Xenopus tropicalis: one gene and its partner. The protein of the gene in region 2 purifies or fractionates together with the protein of the main gene of each other region. This does not show direct contact. Links are inferred from orthologs where the notes say so. Each region holds a gene or a part of one and is shown on either strand. Other genes may lie near its edges.

Region 1 (7,684 bases), on a different chromosome or scaffold from region 2:
ATTACCATGAGTAAACCTAGCGCTATAAAGAGATTTTATTTATCTTCTACAGTTTGCTTGCTTCAGTAGTCTTTCCAAAGTCATTTTTATACTTGTGTTCATGAATTCAAGGCTTTGCAACAAGGTTATCTACATACATCAGTTTCTCTACAATATTATTCAAGGGCAATGGCAAACTTGGGACTGACTGCTTTAATATTCTCTGGGAAAATGACTGAAGCCATGTGCTTCCCACTGACAGCAAAGGAAAGTTGTTCTTTGGCAATTCAGAACTGTCTGATCTCCATGATTTCTTCTGAGAAGATTAAAAAAAGCAACAGTGCCCACAAGGTAGCAGGTGCAAAAATTGTAATAGTATTAACTTGTTCAGCCACAATGTAGCCTTAATACCATTATTACAGTTACCATTATCACTCACTACAACATAAGAGTGTATACACCAATTATACAAAGGGCCCTGCTAAAGAATGCTAACAAAAATGTAAACTGACTATTATAGTCATACTGTTCCTTTTTATTTTTGGCTTAATCAACCTTTGCCGTTAAAGTTTTAACTAAGCAATGTTCCTTCTGGAACAGCAGTAATTTTATGAATGCAATAACGGTCATTTAATGTGCAGACACTGGAAAGAATCTGTGCTTATAATGGGCTGCTCAGTTATTGCCTTCACCAGTACATACCACAACTTGTTTATGGATTGGCATCTCTGTAGATGTATGGTCATATATACTTAAATATTTTCCCCAATAATTCTCCTTATACAACCACTTCAAAGTCAAAGTCATAAGATGACAAAACACAACAAAGTTACAAGCTACTGTGAAAAAATGTAATTTTGTAAACAGATCTTTTAAACTACATGAACTGGATGATTGCAAGCTAAGGTGAATAAATGTTCACCTTATAAATGCTCAGAAATATGCATTCTATAAAGTTTGCCCTAGGAAAGCCACAACAACTACAGTGGGAATTATGAATGCTGTGTGTTAAGCAAATACTATGTATAAATTCTGACATTAAATGGATTTAAAATACATAACAGCCTTTTGCAATATTATATATATATATAAAAAAGACCAGCAACACCGAGTTATATTCCAAAAACAATCAATTGTGTATTAAAAACGCATGAACAGCCAACGTTACGTTTCGGTCCCCATTGAGAAAGGTCCGAAACATAACGTTGGCTGTTCATGCGTTTTTAATACACAATTGATTGTTTTTGGAATATAACTCGGTGTTGCTGGTCTTTTTTGGATATTTAAATCATTTACCTTGCACCCGAGCTAAGAGCTGAAGCAGAGTGCCACCCTGGGTTCGTATATATTATATATATATATATATATATATATATATATATATATATATATATACACACATGTACACATACATACATATACACATATACACCCATGCTCTTGATTTTCACCCAGTGAAACCCTTGCTCAATCAAGCTCTAAACTTTTGGCCTAGAATTATTAACTGTGTGGCCATGTGATTATAATAGTGATGATATATTTCCACAACTTTCTTTACATATCCCACCATTCTCCCTACTGATTCTTATTCTGATTGTGAACCTGATGAGCTGAATCTTTGAGCTGCTGCTTTTTCTTTACCAGATTACCCTACAAAAATTTTATAGTGGCATCCATTACATTGGTCCTGCCCAAACGGAGCTTATAATTTAGGTCCCTATCATATTCACACACACTAGTGTCAAGTTTAGCAGATTTCTAACAGACCACTATTAAGAAGACATTTTTGGAGGGACTTTGCAGTTACTTTTATGGGGATGTGCCAGATCTTTCATCTACTCTTAAGGCCTCCCACCCCATCCAGTATGGTTCAACTTTTCTACCTCATTTAAATAAACTACTAAATTTTTTTACTATAAAATGACTAGCCCAATTAAGTATTAGGCAGCACTGCCTTGCACTATCTGCAAGGAGTTTGTATGTTTTCCCTGTGTCTGTTTCCTCCCACACTCGAGAAGCATACGGCAAAAACATACTCCTTGGGAGCCAATTTGCACCATCAATCGCACCAAGCTCTGCTGAATTACGCGTGCTACTGCTACTTGGCTCTCATTAAACTTATTCCACTAAATCAAAGAACATGTATGAACGAACTGTCTGATATTTTACTGGCTATGGTACACAGTATATGGTACTATATTTTGTTAATTACTATTTTACATAATACGAAGCACAAACATTTAATAAGACTAATGCGAGAAATGAAAGGGGATCTAACACAAAACATGCAATGTACACTTACTGAATGTAACTCCTCTGAGTACTTTTATAGTTTACAAACATTTTATATTTTTAGTGGTTTGTGAAATATTAGCAGTCTTAGAACATTTTAGACTGCTAATAAAAGGCTTTCAGCTTAACAGCTCTCTTTGAAGGCCATATTGTCAGCAACCCTAACTGTCTATGTACTTTCTATGCACTCCTAACCCATTAGTGTTGCTGAGCCAAAAGCCTGGTATTAGTAATTAAAAAATCTCAGAAACTGCTAAAAATAGAAAATGAATGTAAATTGCAAAAGTGCTCAGAGAAGCACTCCGAGTAAGTTTACATCATATCTTTTGGGTTTGGATCCCTTAAAATGATTAAAATTTGACCATTACCATTGCTCCAAGAAAATGCACGAGTCCTGCACCAGCGCATAAACATTAGAGGCATTTACCAGCAACAGTACATTTGCAGAGCACCATTACACCAAGAAAAGAAAAATGAAATACACAAGCATTTACAATTTCTATGTAACATTGCTGCCCTCTACTGGAAATCTAAAATATAACCTGCTATAAGATAATTTTTCTTAAAAAAAAAAAAAAAAAAAAGCACTATTAAACAATACCAGAGATTTACATACTTTAGAAGATTCAGCCCCTTTCAGTAGCTGGGATTCAGTAGCTTTGCTGGATAAGGACTCAGGATCAGATATTTCTACAGCACTTTCAGCTGCATCTGAAAATGTCCTCTTTTCCTCTTCAGAATCACACTCATATTGCCAGCCAGTGATCTCAGGGACATCATCTAAAAGAGCACCTTAAATTCAGTTTACTGACTCTCCAGGTATCTGCATACTTCAGTATTGGCTTTGAATCATCATGCTGGTGTTCATTATAACTGCAGTTTGTTAAACACAGGCCCTGGGGTGCATAAACCATTTCTAGAGGTGTATAAAGTATTTTTAGTATTTAGACCAAATAAGGTCAACTCCATTTTCTGCTATAAACCTTGCAGCGTTTGTTGGTCCAAAAATACTGCAATTGAGATCATTTTATGACTTTTTAAAACTTATGATTAACTATTAATAGTGTAATTATTACTCTACTGTAAATTCACAAATGTAATCAATGGCATCAATTTTGCCATGGCAAGAAGACTTCAGTAGATATTTTTTAATGGATACCATCATGGGTGAAATTGTGAACATTTCAAAAAATTTAAAGAAAAGTGATCCAGCTCTATTGATTTTTTGGAGGGCAGTTATTATTGCAGATAATTAGTAACTGTTTACAATTTTATTTGTAAATATTTATGTTCTAAAAATTGGATAATGATTTCAATAACCTCATTTGTTGTTAGTTTTTGAGCTAAACAAGTAAATAGAAATAACTTCATGTTTAGTCCTTGAGAGGTGGGTGATTACATTACCAATACACAACTCCCTTCCTTCTCCCTTTGTTTTTACTGCAAAAGGAGGATTATTCTGGTGTGTTTTGGGTCATTGTCCTGCTGCAGCACCCAAGATCGCTTCAGCTTGAGTTGACAAACAGATGGCCGGACATTCTCCTTCAGAATTTTTTGGTAGACAGTAGAATTCATGGTTCCATCTATCACAGCAAGCCTTCCAGGTCCTGAAGCAGCAAAACAACCCCAGACAATCACACTACCACCACCATATTTTACTGTTGGTATGATGTTCTTTTTCTGAAATGCTGTGTTACTTTTACGCCAGATGTAACGGGACACGCACCTTCCAAAAAGTTCAACTTTTGTCTCGTCAGTCCACAAGGTATTTTCCCAAAAGTCTTGGCAATCATTGAGATGTTTTTTAGCAAAATTGAGACGAGCCATAATGTTCTTTTTGCTTAAATGGAAATCTGCCATGCAGGCCGTTTTTGCCCAGTCTCTTTCTTATGGTGGAGTCGTGAACACTGACCTTAATTGAGGCAAGTGAGGCCTGCAGTTCTTTAGATGTTGTCCTGGGGTCTTTTGTGGTCTCTCGGATGAGTTGTCTCTGCGCTCTTGGGGTAATTTTGGTCGGCCGGCCACTCCTGGGAAGGTTCACCACTGTTCCATGTTTTTGCCATTTGTGGATTATGGCTCTCACTGTGGTTCGCTGGAGTCCCAAAGCTTTAGAAATGGCTTTATAACCTTTACCAGACTGATAGATCTCAATTACTTTTGTTCTCATTTGTTCCTGAATTTCTTTGGATCTTGGCATGATGTCTAGCTTTTGAGGTGCTTTTGGTCTACTTCTCTGTGTCAGGTAGCTCCTATTTAAGTGATTTTTTGATTGAAACAGGTGTGGCAGTAATCAGGCCTGGGGGTGACTACAGAAATTGAACATTGAATTGATAAACCACAGTTAAGTTATTTTTTAACAAGGGGGGCAATCACTTTTTCACACAGGGCCATGTAGATTTGGAGTTTTTTTTCTCCCTTAATAACGTAAACCTTCATTTAAAAACTGCATTTTGTGTTCAATTATGTTATCTTTGACTAATAGTTAACGGTTTTTGATGAGCAGAAACATTTAAGTGTGACAAACATGCAAAAGAATAAGAAATCAGGAAGGGGGCAAATAGTTTTTCACACCACTGTATATGCACTGGTAGTGTAATTACCTCCCTCACAAAGGCCAAGCATTAAGTGGCTTCATTTCACTCTTCTGTAAAACTTACCATTAAATTGCTTCATAGAGGCAGACAAATCCATGGAGTATGATTTTCCCTTATTGCGAGAGGATCGACTAGCAAATCCAAGTCGGGAATTAAATTCTTTACTTCCATCGTTTGATAACTCACTGTCACTGGAGCTCCACACAATACGTGCAGGATTGTTATCGTTACAATCTGGAGCAGGAAACATTCAAGGCAAATATTTGTATGTACAGGATTATAAAACATGACAAATAAGTAAAATAATGAATGACAGGAAATGTTGCTTGCTTGGGCTAATGCCACACTGGGTGGCTACTTGGCCAAAATTCAGCATGACACTGCTCACTTAAGTTTTGTGGCAAATTCCGCTAAGTGTGGCTGCACCCGGGCCGAGGCAATGGCTCCGGGTGCAGCCACAACTATCAGATTTTTTAAGCCCAGGGACGGATTCTCAGGCCAAGAATCCGCCCAGTGTAGCACTAGTCTTAAGCAAAGCACTTACTACAGCGTTATGGCTGCTCCATGCAGCTGTTCCAAGTTAGCCTTTTATCTTAGGCTAATGCCACACGAGGCATGGGCAGATATTTTTGGCAAGCGTAAAAGTGTGAAAACGCAAGATAATGCAAAGTCTCGCGTTTTCATGTGTATATCGGCTACATGTGCCTGCACCCGAGTGTATCTCATTCATTTGGGTGCAGGCACATGTAGGAGGCGTAGGGCGGAATTTTCAGCAAGTGCTTTTACGCTTGCCAAAAATATCCGCCCTACGCCTCGTGTGGCATTAGACTTAAGTGTAAGGAGGAAGACCAGAGAGAAAGCTTATCTGTCTGTAGAACACTCAGAAGTTGTGAAAAAAAATTATGGGTTGGATGGGGAAGAGTCGCCCAACCATAACCTGTAACTCAGATACTGTGATAAAGTAGTATTACATGAAAACATGTATCCAATATTAAAAAAGAAAAAAAAACAGTAAACATCTGATTGCTGGTTGCTATAGGTTACTGTATTAGAGCATTTGACTGGTAAGTCTGAGCATTATTATCCTTATTTGGAACCTGAATTTTTTGGTTGTAAAGAGCAAAATACCTTGCATTCAGTATTTGCTCAATCGTGACCAAAAGTATTGTCCTCTGTGATCCAATAAGTGCCTGGTGAAAAAAGCAATCAAATCTTCCCTCATTTCCCCCACTACATACGTGATCAAATCAACCTCCAAATCACCCACTCACCCATCCTGTTAACATACCAATATTACAGGCAACTTATTCCAAACATATCATCATTAAAATTCCCCAATCTGGCTTATTTCCTGGGGTAGATCACTTCTCAGACAAATTAATGTTTACAAGCTGACAGTGGAGAGAAAATACTATATATAGCACAAAACATTCCATATGACAGAAGGACACGTCTGACCCATTTAACAATGAGTCAGGCTAGTGATATATTCTATTTACGGTTAAGGGTTTAAGCACTTTTTTATGGCCACACATGTTACAAGCAGTTTTACATAATTCATACATAATTCATACAAGCATGAGGTCAGAACAGTACTATTTACCTTCATCATAAACAGGGGTGTGTGCTATGGGCTTGCCAAGCAGAGTAGTTCTTTCCGATGAAGCTGCTGCCTACAGGATAGGAGAACACAAGAGAGTAAGAGACATAGAATGCAAAATTAAAGCAGCGTTTGTAGCATTAGTGCTCATCACACATTTAGTAGGACTTTCCAGCACCTATTTCTGCAAGAGTCAATTTGGTTGCATCATAATATTCAATTAAACAGATTAGCTCTTTACACTCTACATATAGAACAATACATTTACAGCACAATAGATGCTATCTAATAAGTCATGGTTACTTTATCTGATTTGGGACCCCAGGGACTTTCAGGAAAACTTAAGGTGGCTACGCACGTGGCGATTTTCGAACTTTTGTGCGACCATCGTTCCAATCCACCACTGACGTTCAGGGCTGAAACATCAGATATGGAGGTAGAAACAATAGGATTTCTACCTCCTTCTGCCAATTCAGCCCTGAAGGCAGATTTTGCTCAGGCGCCTTCTATGGCGCCCAATCAGCGAGTCGACCGATATTAGCAGCCTCCTGCAATATCGGTCGCCTCGCAGAGTTGCCATACGCGCACCGAATATGGTACGAAATGAGGTTTCGTACGATATTATCGGTGCGTGTATCGCCAGCTTTAGAGAGGCTTACAGATGTCTTTATTAACTATCATAATGATTGATCCTTCAGCCAGGAGATTTCAGTGATAGTCTACTGGGAAGGGGTGGGGGGGGGGGGCTTTATTGCAGCATTTAAAACATTTGACACTGCCCTTAAGGAGATACTGACACCTGAAATTAAAACTTGAAAATTTGGATCTCCATACCTTAAGTCTAAAAATCATTAAAACATTAAAAAAAACCATTAGGATTGTTTTGTTCATTATATCTTAGTTAGGATTAGGTACAAGGTACTGTTTTATTATTACAGAGAAGGAGAAAATCAATTTTAAAATATGAATTATTTGATTAAAATAGTCTATGGCAGACGGCCTTCCCATAATTCAGAGCATTCTGGATAACGGGATTCCGGACATGCCAAGACATCTGAAAACTATGATCACTGATTTTTCTTTTTGTATTTTTTATAATAAACTCTTTTGTGGACACACTAACTACTAGTAAACATTGTGAACATTTAACTGACTTCTCACAACTACATTTGTTGCTCTTTATTTTATACTTAAAGGAACACCAAAAAATAAAAGTATT
Region 2 (8,465 bases):
ATGTTTCTTCATTTTCATCCTTTGTTGATATAGTAGCTCCAGTTGAGTTACTCAAGACTTTGAACAAGAAGCCTTTATACGTATTAACAAATAAGACTTGCTAAATGATGAGAGGGTCTGGCTTTGGATCTTACATTTGGGCAGGGGTTGTTGGAAAGTTTTTATGTTATGTTGGCTTTAGTGAATCCAGGGTGTATCATTCATCACTGAAGATGACAGCCAACCTGAAGATCTTCTGTTGAAGACCAAGTCCTAATCTTGCTATGGTAGCCAAGTAGGTGGCCTACACCAGAGAATCATGCAATGTACATATCTGTATATAAATGCTGTTGTTCTGGGACAAACAACGTGATTTCAAAATGTATTTCATCATTATAATAGTCTCCTCTTCCTTTTTAAAAGGTGTTAGGGGCAGGGGGAAACTATAGATCTTTTCTTAACCCCAGAGTTTTTCCTAAAGAATTTTTAGTGTTCTGTATATAATTTCATTTTGTCTTTTTTCCCCACTCATTTGGTTCTATAACATTTTTGTACTATATGTTGTTGTATACATTTTGTAATAAAAATACTATTTTCTTATTTTTCTACAGTGACCAGTGGTAGGGTTTAGATTTATTGTTCCATGGGTGAGATTTAAATGGATTGCACCTAAGCTACGACCACCAAAATATAACCAGGGTCGGACTGGGCTGGTGGGCCCCTGAGGCCCAGACGGTGTTCCTCTCCTGACGTGTTAAACTTGGCGCGCTCAGGGGATGACGTTGGGCAGGGGCCCCTGCAGAGAGTTAGGGAGGCTCAGCGGGGGTCTCTGTGGGGGGTTAGGGGGTGCAGCAGGGGTCTCTGTGGGGGGTTAGGGGGTGCAGCGGGGGCCCCTAAGGGGTGCGGGGGACAAGGCCGGCGGGGGCACCTGCAGGGCCCCTGGGTCGGCAGCCCCTGCACCCCCAGTCCGACCCTGAATATAGCCTCAGGACAACCAATAAAATGCTTGCTTTTATCACTATTTTGTCAAGTGACTTATCAGAGCTGATTAGTGTGCTTGTAAAGGTGTCCCCCTATGGGGGGGGCGCCTTTACAGTTTACACAATGGGGCTGATCTATTACCTTTAAGGGCTCTGGCACACGGGGAGATTAGTCGCCTGCGACAAATCTCCCTGTTCGCGGGCGACTTATTTCCCCAAGTTGCCATCCGTTGCCATCCCACCGGCGAAAATGTAAGTTGCCGGTGGGATGGCACACGCGGCGGCGCGATTTCGGCAAATCGCCGAAAATGCCTCGCGTTGAATAGTGAAACCAACCCAAACTTAATACTACAAATATCTCCTGTGAAAATAATTGGGTGTCCATGAAGTATTATAGTACTAACCACTGCAATATCCAGTCAGCTTAAATACCAATATCACTGCACAGTAGTCAAGTTGTTAAATTTTTTTATTTTTTGACAATATTTACATTAAACAATGTTTTCTGAAAAGTTGCAAAAGCATCAACACTATACATGAAACATGAAAGAATTTATCATCTACACCAGGTGTGGCCAAAATGTTGATCGCGGTCCACCAGTCGATCCCCTGTGGATTTCTGGTGGACCGCGTCGAAGCCGGGAAATGCGGAAGTGCGGCGGTTCCGCGTGTTTATTGGGTATGTGTATGTACGCGGGGAGGAGTCAAAAGTCGATCGCCGCGGAAAAAAGTCTTGGCACCCCTGATCTACACACATTTTAGTATGAGGTGGTAAGTTTTCACATTCGATCCCGTCACGAAAATGAAGCTTTCGGAAGTGATATTTTCAGAGTACCATCCTTTGCTGTGTGCAGGACACAAGGTGGGAAATGGGAAGGGAAGCTTATGTGAAAGGTGCCCTCTTCCTGCTCAGTTGTCACCTCGCCATAGATATGGCACTGGGCTGGAAAATATCGCTCCACGGCCAGGAATGCTCCATCTCCACCCATCTCCAGAGGTTGTGCTGCAGATATCAGGAGGCCGCACTTAAAGTGTGCAGCAGAGTCTAGCAAAAGGCCTGAAATAAGAGCCCCATCAGCAGAGCCACAGGTCGGAGCGAGGTAGCGTTCCAGTCCATCCACCACAATTAGAGAAGGAGCTGGGAAGGAGAGGTGCATGGACGAGACAAGGTGCAGAAGCTCCCTGAGAGAAGAAGGATACAGAAACCGGATTCGCTAAAAAGAAAAAAAATTACTAAGATCAAAAACTGCTACAGAACAATAGCTGAAAAAAATAACTACAAGTACGACATGCCAACCAAAGCTATGCAAATCCATCTGGATACACTCATGAGCAGGGATCCCCAACCAGTGGCTCAGGGGCAACATGTTGCTCCCCAACCCCTTGGATGTTGCTCTCAGTGCCCCCAAACCAGGGAGTTATGTTTGAATTCCTGACTTGGGGGCAAGTTTTTGTTGAATAAAAACAAGATTTGCTACCAAATAAAGCCCCTGTAAGCTGATAGGGTGCATAGAGGCCCCTAATAGCCAATCACAGCCCTTATTTGGCTCCTCCATGAACTGTTATGGTGCTTGTGTTGCTCCCCAAGTCTTTTTACATATGACCCATGCCTCAGGAGTAAGAAAGGTTGGGGATCCCTGCCCTAAACTAACATTCTTCCCTGGCACTTTGCTCTATTATCTGTCCCCTCATAATATGTCCTTCCCCTAAAGGTCCCCATACACGGGCAGATTGTAGCTGCAGATATGGGTCCCTTGGACCGACTCGACAGCTTATCGGCCCGTGTAGGGGCATAAACGAGCGGGCTGGCCGACCGATATCTGGCCTGAAATTGGCCAGATATTGATCGGCCAGGTTAGAAAATCCCGTCGGATTGGGGACCGCATCGGCTCGTTGATGTGGTCCCCGAACCGACTGCCCCATTGCCGCGTGCAGAATTCCATAGTTTGGCCCCAGGGCCAAACGATCGAATTCACCTACATGCCTCCCCGATATCGCCACCCGTAGGTGGGGATATCGGGTGCAGATCCGCTCGCTTGGCGACATCGCCAAGCGAGCGGATCTGCCCAGGGTCGGACTGGGCCGCCGGGACACCGGGAAAAATCCCGGTGGGCCCCAGCGGCCCAGTCCGACCTTTGCCGGCGCTCCCCCTACTGACTGTTCCTCCCCGACGCGTTCAATTTATACACGCTCGGGGAGGACGTCAGGCGGGGGCCCTGCGGGGGGGGGTTAGGGGGGCCCCTGGGGGGGGGGTTAGGGGACGCGGCTGGGGCACCTGCAGGATCTGCCCGTGTATGGCCAGCTTAAGGCTCTATAAATCACTCATCCCATTTGCCCCAACCCCGCGGAGTCAGAACCCACCTCACAGCTGTTCCCAGTCCCCCCATAATATGGCCCAATACAAACTACTGCCCTGCACTCATGGCCCCCCAGCCCTTCCCTGGTAGCCACACCCTGTCTCTCTGCCCCGCCCCCCAGCCCTTCCCTGGTAGCCACACCCTGTCTCTCTGCCCCCCCATATAAACCTCCTTCCCTATAGAATCACCTTGAGTAGGAGCGGCTCTCTGGCTTCCCTCCCACCCCCGGGCAGCCGCTGCAGGGACTCCCGGGATATAAATATTACCGGCCCCGCACCCTCCTCCGCGGCCACAAGGGCGGCGCTAAACAGGAGCCCGCTCTTCCCACAGCCGGGGGGGCCGACAAGCAGCACGGAAGAAACCGTTGAGCTAACATGGCCGGGCAGAACACTGGTACCGGGATCCCCCTGGTTATGGAACTCCTTACACCCCAACAACTCGCTCAGCACCCTGCTCAGAGTTTGTGCCATGCAAAATGGTTTAGCCCATGCAGCCAGCTCTGTAGCGCTGATTGGCTGAAAGTCCGGAAGTGAAGACACTTGCATTATGCGTGTCAAGCCTCGGTTTACAGTAAGCGAAAAGAGAGAAGTTCTATTGGTTGTGTTGGTCTGTGGGTGTAATGAAGGGTTTACCTCAGTGTCTTGTCAAGTACTGAGATGGTTTCTGCTGAGGTACATTCGGTATAGAGGATTTTTGCTTTTGTGGAAAATCTTATGCAGTCTCCCTTGTTTTGTTGTCATTCTGCCCTATTAGTTATTCACATAGCTGCATAACAGTTGTAAAGGTTAGTAGCCTCTCAAGTTTAACCTACTGCCCAGGAATATCTGGTGTAACTACGAGTTTATCCAAAGGGGGATAAAATCCCCAGGCTGGGCCCCCTTAGCCCATAACAAGGTTACAGATATATAGAAACATTGGGGTAACAGTCACCCTGCTATAGTTCCAGGGGTACCCAGGGTACAAATAAGCACTCACCCCAAATCCCCCCCTAACTGGCCTTCAGGCTGGGCCCCCTTAGCCCATAACAAGGTTACAGATATATAGAAACATTGGGGTAACAGTCACCCTGCTATAGTTCCAGGGGTACCCAGGGCACAAATAAGCACTCACCCCAAATCCCCCCTAACTGGCCTTCAGGCTGGGCCCCCTTAGCCCATAACAAGGTTACAGATATATAGAAACATTGGGGTAACAGTCACCCTGCTATAGTTCCAGGGGTACCCAGGGCACAAATAAGCACTCACCCCAAATCCCCCCTAACTGGCCTTCAGGCTGGGCCCCCTTAGCCCATAACAAGGTTACAGATATATAGAAACATTGGGGTAACAGTCACCCTGCTATAGTTCCAGGGGTACCCAGGGCACAAATAAGCACTCACCCCAAATCTCCCCCTAACTGGCCTTCAGGCTGGGCCCCCTTAGCCCATAACAAGGTTACAGATATATAGAAACATTGGGGTAACAGTCACCCTGCTATAGTTCCAGGGGTACCCAGGGCACAAATAAGCACTCACCCCAAATCCCCCCCTAACTGGCCTTCAGGCTGGGCCCCCTTAGCCCATAACAAGGTTACAGATATATAGAAACATTGGGGTAACAGTCACCCTGCTATAGTTCCAGGGGTACCCAGGGCACAAATAAGCACTCACCCCAAATCCCCCCCTAACTGGCCTTCAGGCTGGGCCCCCTTAGCCCATAACAAGGTTACAGATATATAGAAACATTGGGGTAACAGTCACCCCGCTATAGTTCCAGGGGTACCCAGGCACAAATAAGCACTCACCCCAAATCCCCCCTAACTGGCCTTCAAGCTGGGCCCCCTTAGCCCATAACAAGGTTACAGATATATAGAAACATTGGGGTAACAGTCACCCTGCTATAGTTCCAGGGGTACCCAGGGCACAAATAAGCACTCACCCCAAATCCCCCCCTAACTGGCCTTCAGGCTGGGCCCCCTTAGCCCATAACAAGGTTACAGATATATAGAAACAGTGGGGTAACAGTCACCCTGCTATAGTTCCAGGGGTACCCAGGGCACAAATAAGCACTCACCCCAAATCTCCCCCTAACTGGCCTTCAGGCTGGGCCCCCTTAGCCCATAACAAGGTTACAGATATATAGAAACAGTGGGGTAACAGTCACCCTGCTATAGTTCCAGGGGTACCCAGGGCACAAATAAGCACTCACCCCAAATCTCCCCCTAACTGGCCTTCAGGCTGGGCCCCCTTAGCCCATAACAAGGTTACAGATATATAGAAACATTGGGGTAACAGTTACCCTGCTATAGTTCCAGGGGTACCCAGGGCACAAATAAGCCCTTACCCCAAATCCCCCCCTAACTGGCCTTCAGGCTGGGCCCCCTTAGCCCATAACAAGGTTACAGATATATAGAAACATTGGGGTAACTGTCACCCTGCTATAGTTCCAGGGGTACCCAGGGCACAAATAAGCACTCACCCCAAATCCCCCCCTAACTGGCCTTCAGGCTGGGCCCCCTTAGCCCATAACAAGGTTACAGATATATAGAAACAGTGGGGTAACAGTCACCCTGCTATAGTTCCAGGGGTACCCAGGGCACAAATAAGCACTCACCCCAAATCTCCCCCTAACTGGCCTTCAGGCTGGGCCCCCTTAGCCCATAACAAGGTTACAGATATATAGAAACATTGGGGTAACAGTCACCCTGCTATAGTTCCAGGGGTACCCAGGGCACAAATAAGCCCTTACCCCAAATCCCCCCCTAACTGGCCTTCAGGCTGGGCCCCCTTAGCCCATAACAAGGTTACAGATATATAGAAACATTGGGGTAACTGTCACCCTGCTATAGTTCCAGGGGTACCCAGGGCACAAATAAGCACTCACCCCAAATCCCCCCCTAACTGGCCTTCAGGCTGGGCCCCCTTAGCCCATAACAAGGTTACAGATATATAGAAACATTGGGGTAACAGTCACCCTGCTATAGTTCCAGGGGTACCCAGGGTACAAATAAGCACTCACCCCAAATCCCCCCCTAACTGGCCTTCAGGCTGGGCCCCCTTAGCCCATAACAAGGTTACAGATATATAGAAACATTGGGGTAACAGTCACCCTGCTATAGTTCCAGGGGTACCCAGGGCACAAATAAGCACTCACCCCAAATCCCCCCCTAACTGGCCTTCAGGCTGGGCCCCCTTAGCCCATAACAAGGTTACAGATATATAGAAACATTGGGGTAACAGTCACCCTGCTATAGTTCCAGGGGTACCCAGGGCACAAATAAGCACTCACCCCAAATCCCCCCCTAACTGGCCTTCAGGCTGGGCCCCCTTAGCCCATAACAAGGTTACAGGTATATAGAAACATTGGGGTAACAGTCACCCCGCTATAGTTCCAGGGGTACCCAGGCACAAATAAGCACTCACCCCAAATCCCCCCCTTACTGGCCTTCAGGCTGGGCCCCCTTAGCCCATAACAAGGTTACAGATATATAGAAACATTGGGGTAACAGTCACCCCGCTATAGTTCCAGGGGTACCCAGGCACAAATAAGCACTCACCCCAAATCCCCCCTAACTGGCCTTCAAGCTGGGCCCCCTTAGCCCATAACAAGGTTACAGATATATAGAAACATTGGGGTAACAGTCACCCCGCTATAGTTCCAGGGGTACCCAGGGCACAAATAAGCACTCACCCCAAATCCTCCCCTAACTGGCCTTCAGGCTGGGCCCCCTTAGCCCATAACAAGGTTACAGATATATAGAAACATTGGGGTAACAGTCACCCTGCTATAGTTCCAGGGGTACCCAGGGCACAAATAAGCCCTTACCCCAAATCCCCCCTAACTGGCCTTCAGGCTGGGCCCCCTTAGCCCATAACAAGGTTACAGATATATAGAAACATTGGGGTAACAGTCACCCTGCTATAGTTCCAGGGGTACCCAGGGCACAAATAAGCACTCACCCCAAATTCCCCCCTAACTGGCCTTCAGGCTGGGCCCCCTTAGCCCATAACAAGGTTACAGATATATAGAAACATTGGGGTAACAGTCACCCTGCTATAGTTCCAGGGGTACCCAGGGCACAAATAAGCACTCACCCCAAATCCCCCCCCTAACTGGCCTTCAGGCTGGGCCCCCTTAGCCCATAACAAGGTTACAGATATATAGAAACATTGGGGTAACAGTCACCCTGCTATAGTTCCAGGGGTACCCAGGGCACAAATAAGCACTCACCCCAAATCCCCCCCTAACTGGCCTTCAGGCTGGGCCCCCTTAGCCCATAACAAGGTTACAGATATATAGAAACATTGGGGTAACAGTCACCCTGCTATAGTTCCAGGGGTACCCAGGGCACAAATAAGCACTCACCCCAAATCCCCCCCTAACTGGCCTTCAGGCTGGGCCCCCTTAGCCCATAACAAGGTTACAGATATATAGAAACATTGGGGTAACAGTCACCCTGCTATAGTTCCAGGGGTACCCAGGGCACAAATAAGCACTCACCCCAAATCCCCCCCTAACTGGCCTTCAGGCTGGGCCCCCTTAGCCCATAACAAGGTTACAGATATATAGAAACATTGGGGTAACAGTCACCCTGCTATAGTTCCAGGGGTACCCAGGGCACAAATAAGCACTCACCCCAAATCCCCCCCTAACTGGCCTTCAGGCTGGGCCCCCTTAGCCCATAACAAGGTTACAGATATATAGAAACATTGGGGTAACAGTCACCCTGCTATAGTTCCAGGGGTACCCAGGGCACAAATAAGCACTCACCGCAAATCCCCCCCTAACTGGCCTTCAGGCTGGGCCCCCTTAGCCCATAACAAGGTTACAGATATATAGAAACATTGGGGTAACAGTCACCCCGCTATAGTTCCAGGGGTACCCAGGGCACAAATAAGCACTCACCCCAAATCCCCCCCTAACTGGCCTTCAGGCTGGGCCCCCTTAGCCCATAACAAGGTTACAGATATATAGAAACATTGGGGTAACAGTCACCCTGCTATAGTTCCAGGGGTACCCAGGGCACAAATAAGCCCTTACCCCAAATCCCCCCCTAACTGGCCTTCAGGCTGGGCCCCCTTAGCCCATAACAAGGTTACAGATATATAGAAACATTGGGGTAACAGTCACCCTGCTATAGTTCCAGGGGTACCCAGGGCACAAATAAGCAC

Evidence for each region. The genes of interacting proteins can lie anywhere in the genome.
Region 1: the proteins of swsap1 (region 2) and spidr purify together in Homo sapiens (co-immunoprecipitation; 3 studies listed by BioGRID and IntAct, with this or other methods). This does not show direct contact. The link is inferred for Xenopus tropicalis from reciprocal best matches to the Homo sapiens genes SWSAP1 and SPIDR.

Annotation. Positions count from the first base shown.
Region 1 is NC_030682.2:112,970,533-112,978,216, reverse strand, and holds part of spidr (DNA repair-scaffolding protein), read right to left. Parts: intron 6,539-7,684; coding exon 6,469-6,538; intron 5,100-6,468; coding exon 4,929-5,099; intron 3,052-4,928; coding exon 2,888-3,051; intron 1-2,887. UniProt on the Homo sapiens protein: Plays a role in DNA double-strand break (DBS) repair via homologous recombination (HR).
Region 2 is NC_030679.2:140,119,825-140,128,289, reverse strand, and holds swsap1 (ATPase SWSAP1), read right to left. Parts: upstream 3,877-8,465; 5' UTR 3,862-3,876; coding exon 3,505-3,861; intron 2,174-3,504; coding exon 1,754-2,173; 3' UTR 1,411-1,753; downstream 1-1,410. UniProt on the Homo sapiens protein: ATPase which is preferentially stimulated by single-stranded DNA and is involved in homologous recombination repair (HRR). Has a DNA-binding activity which is independent of its ATPase activity.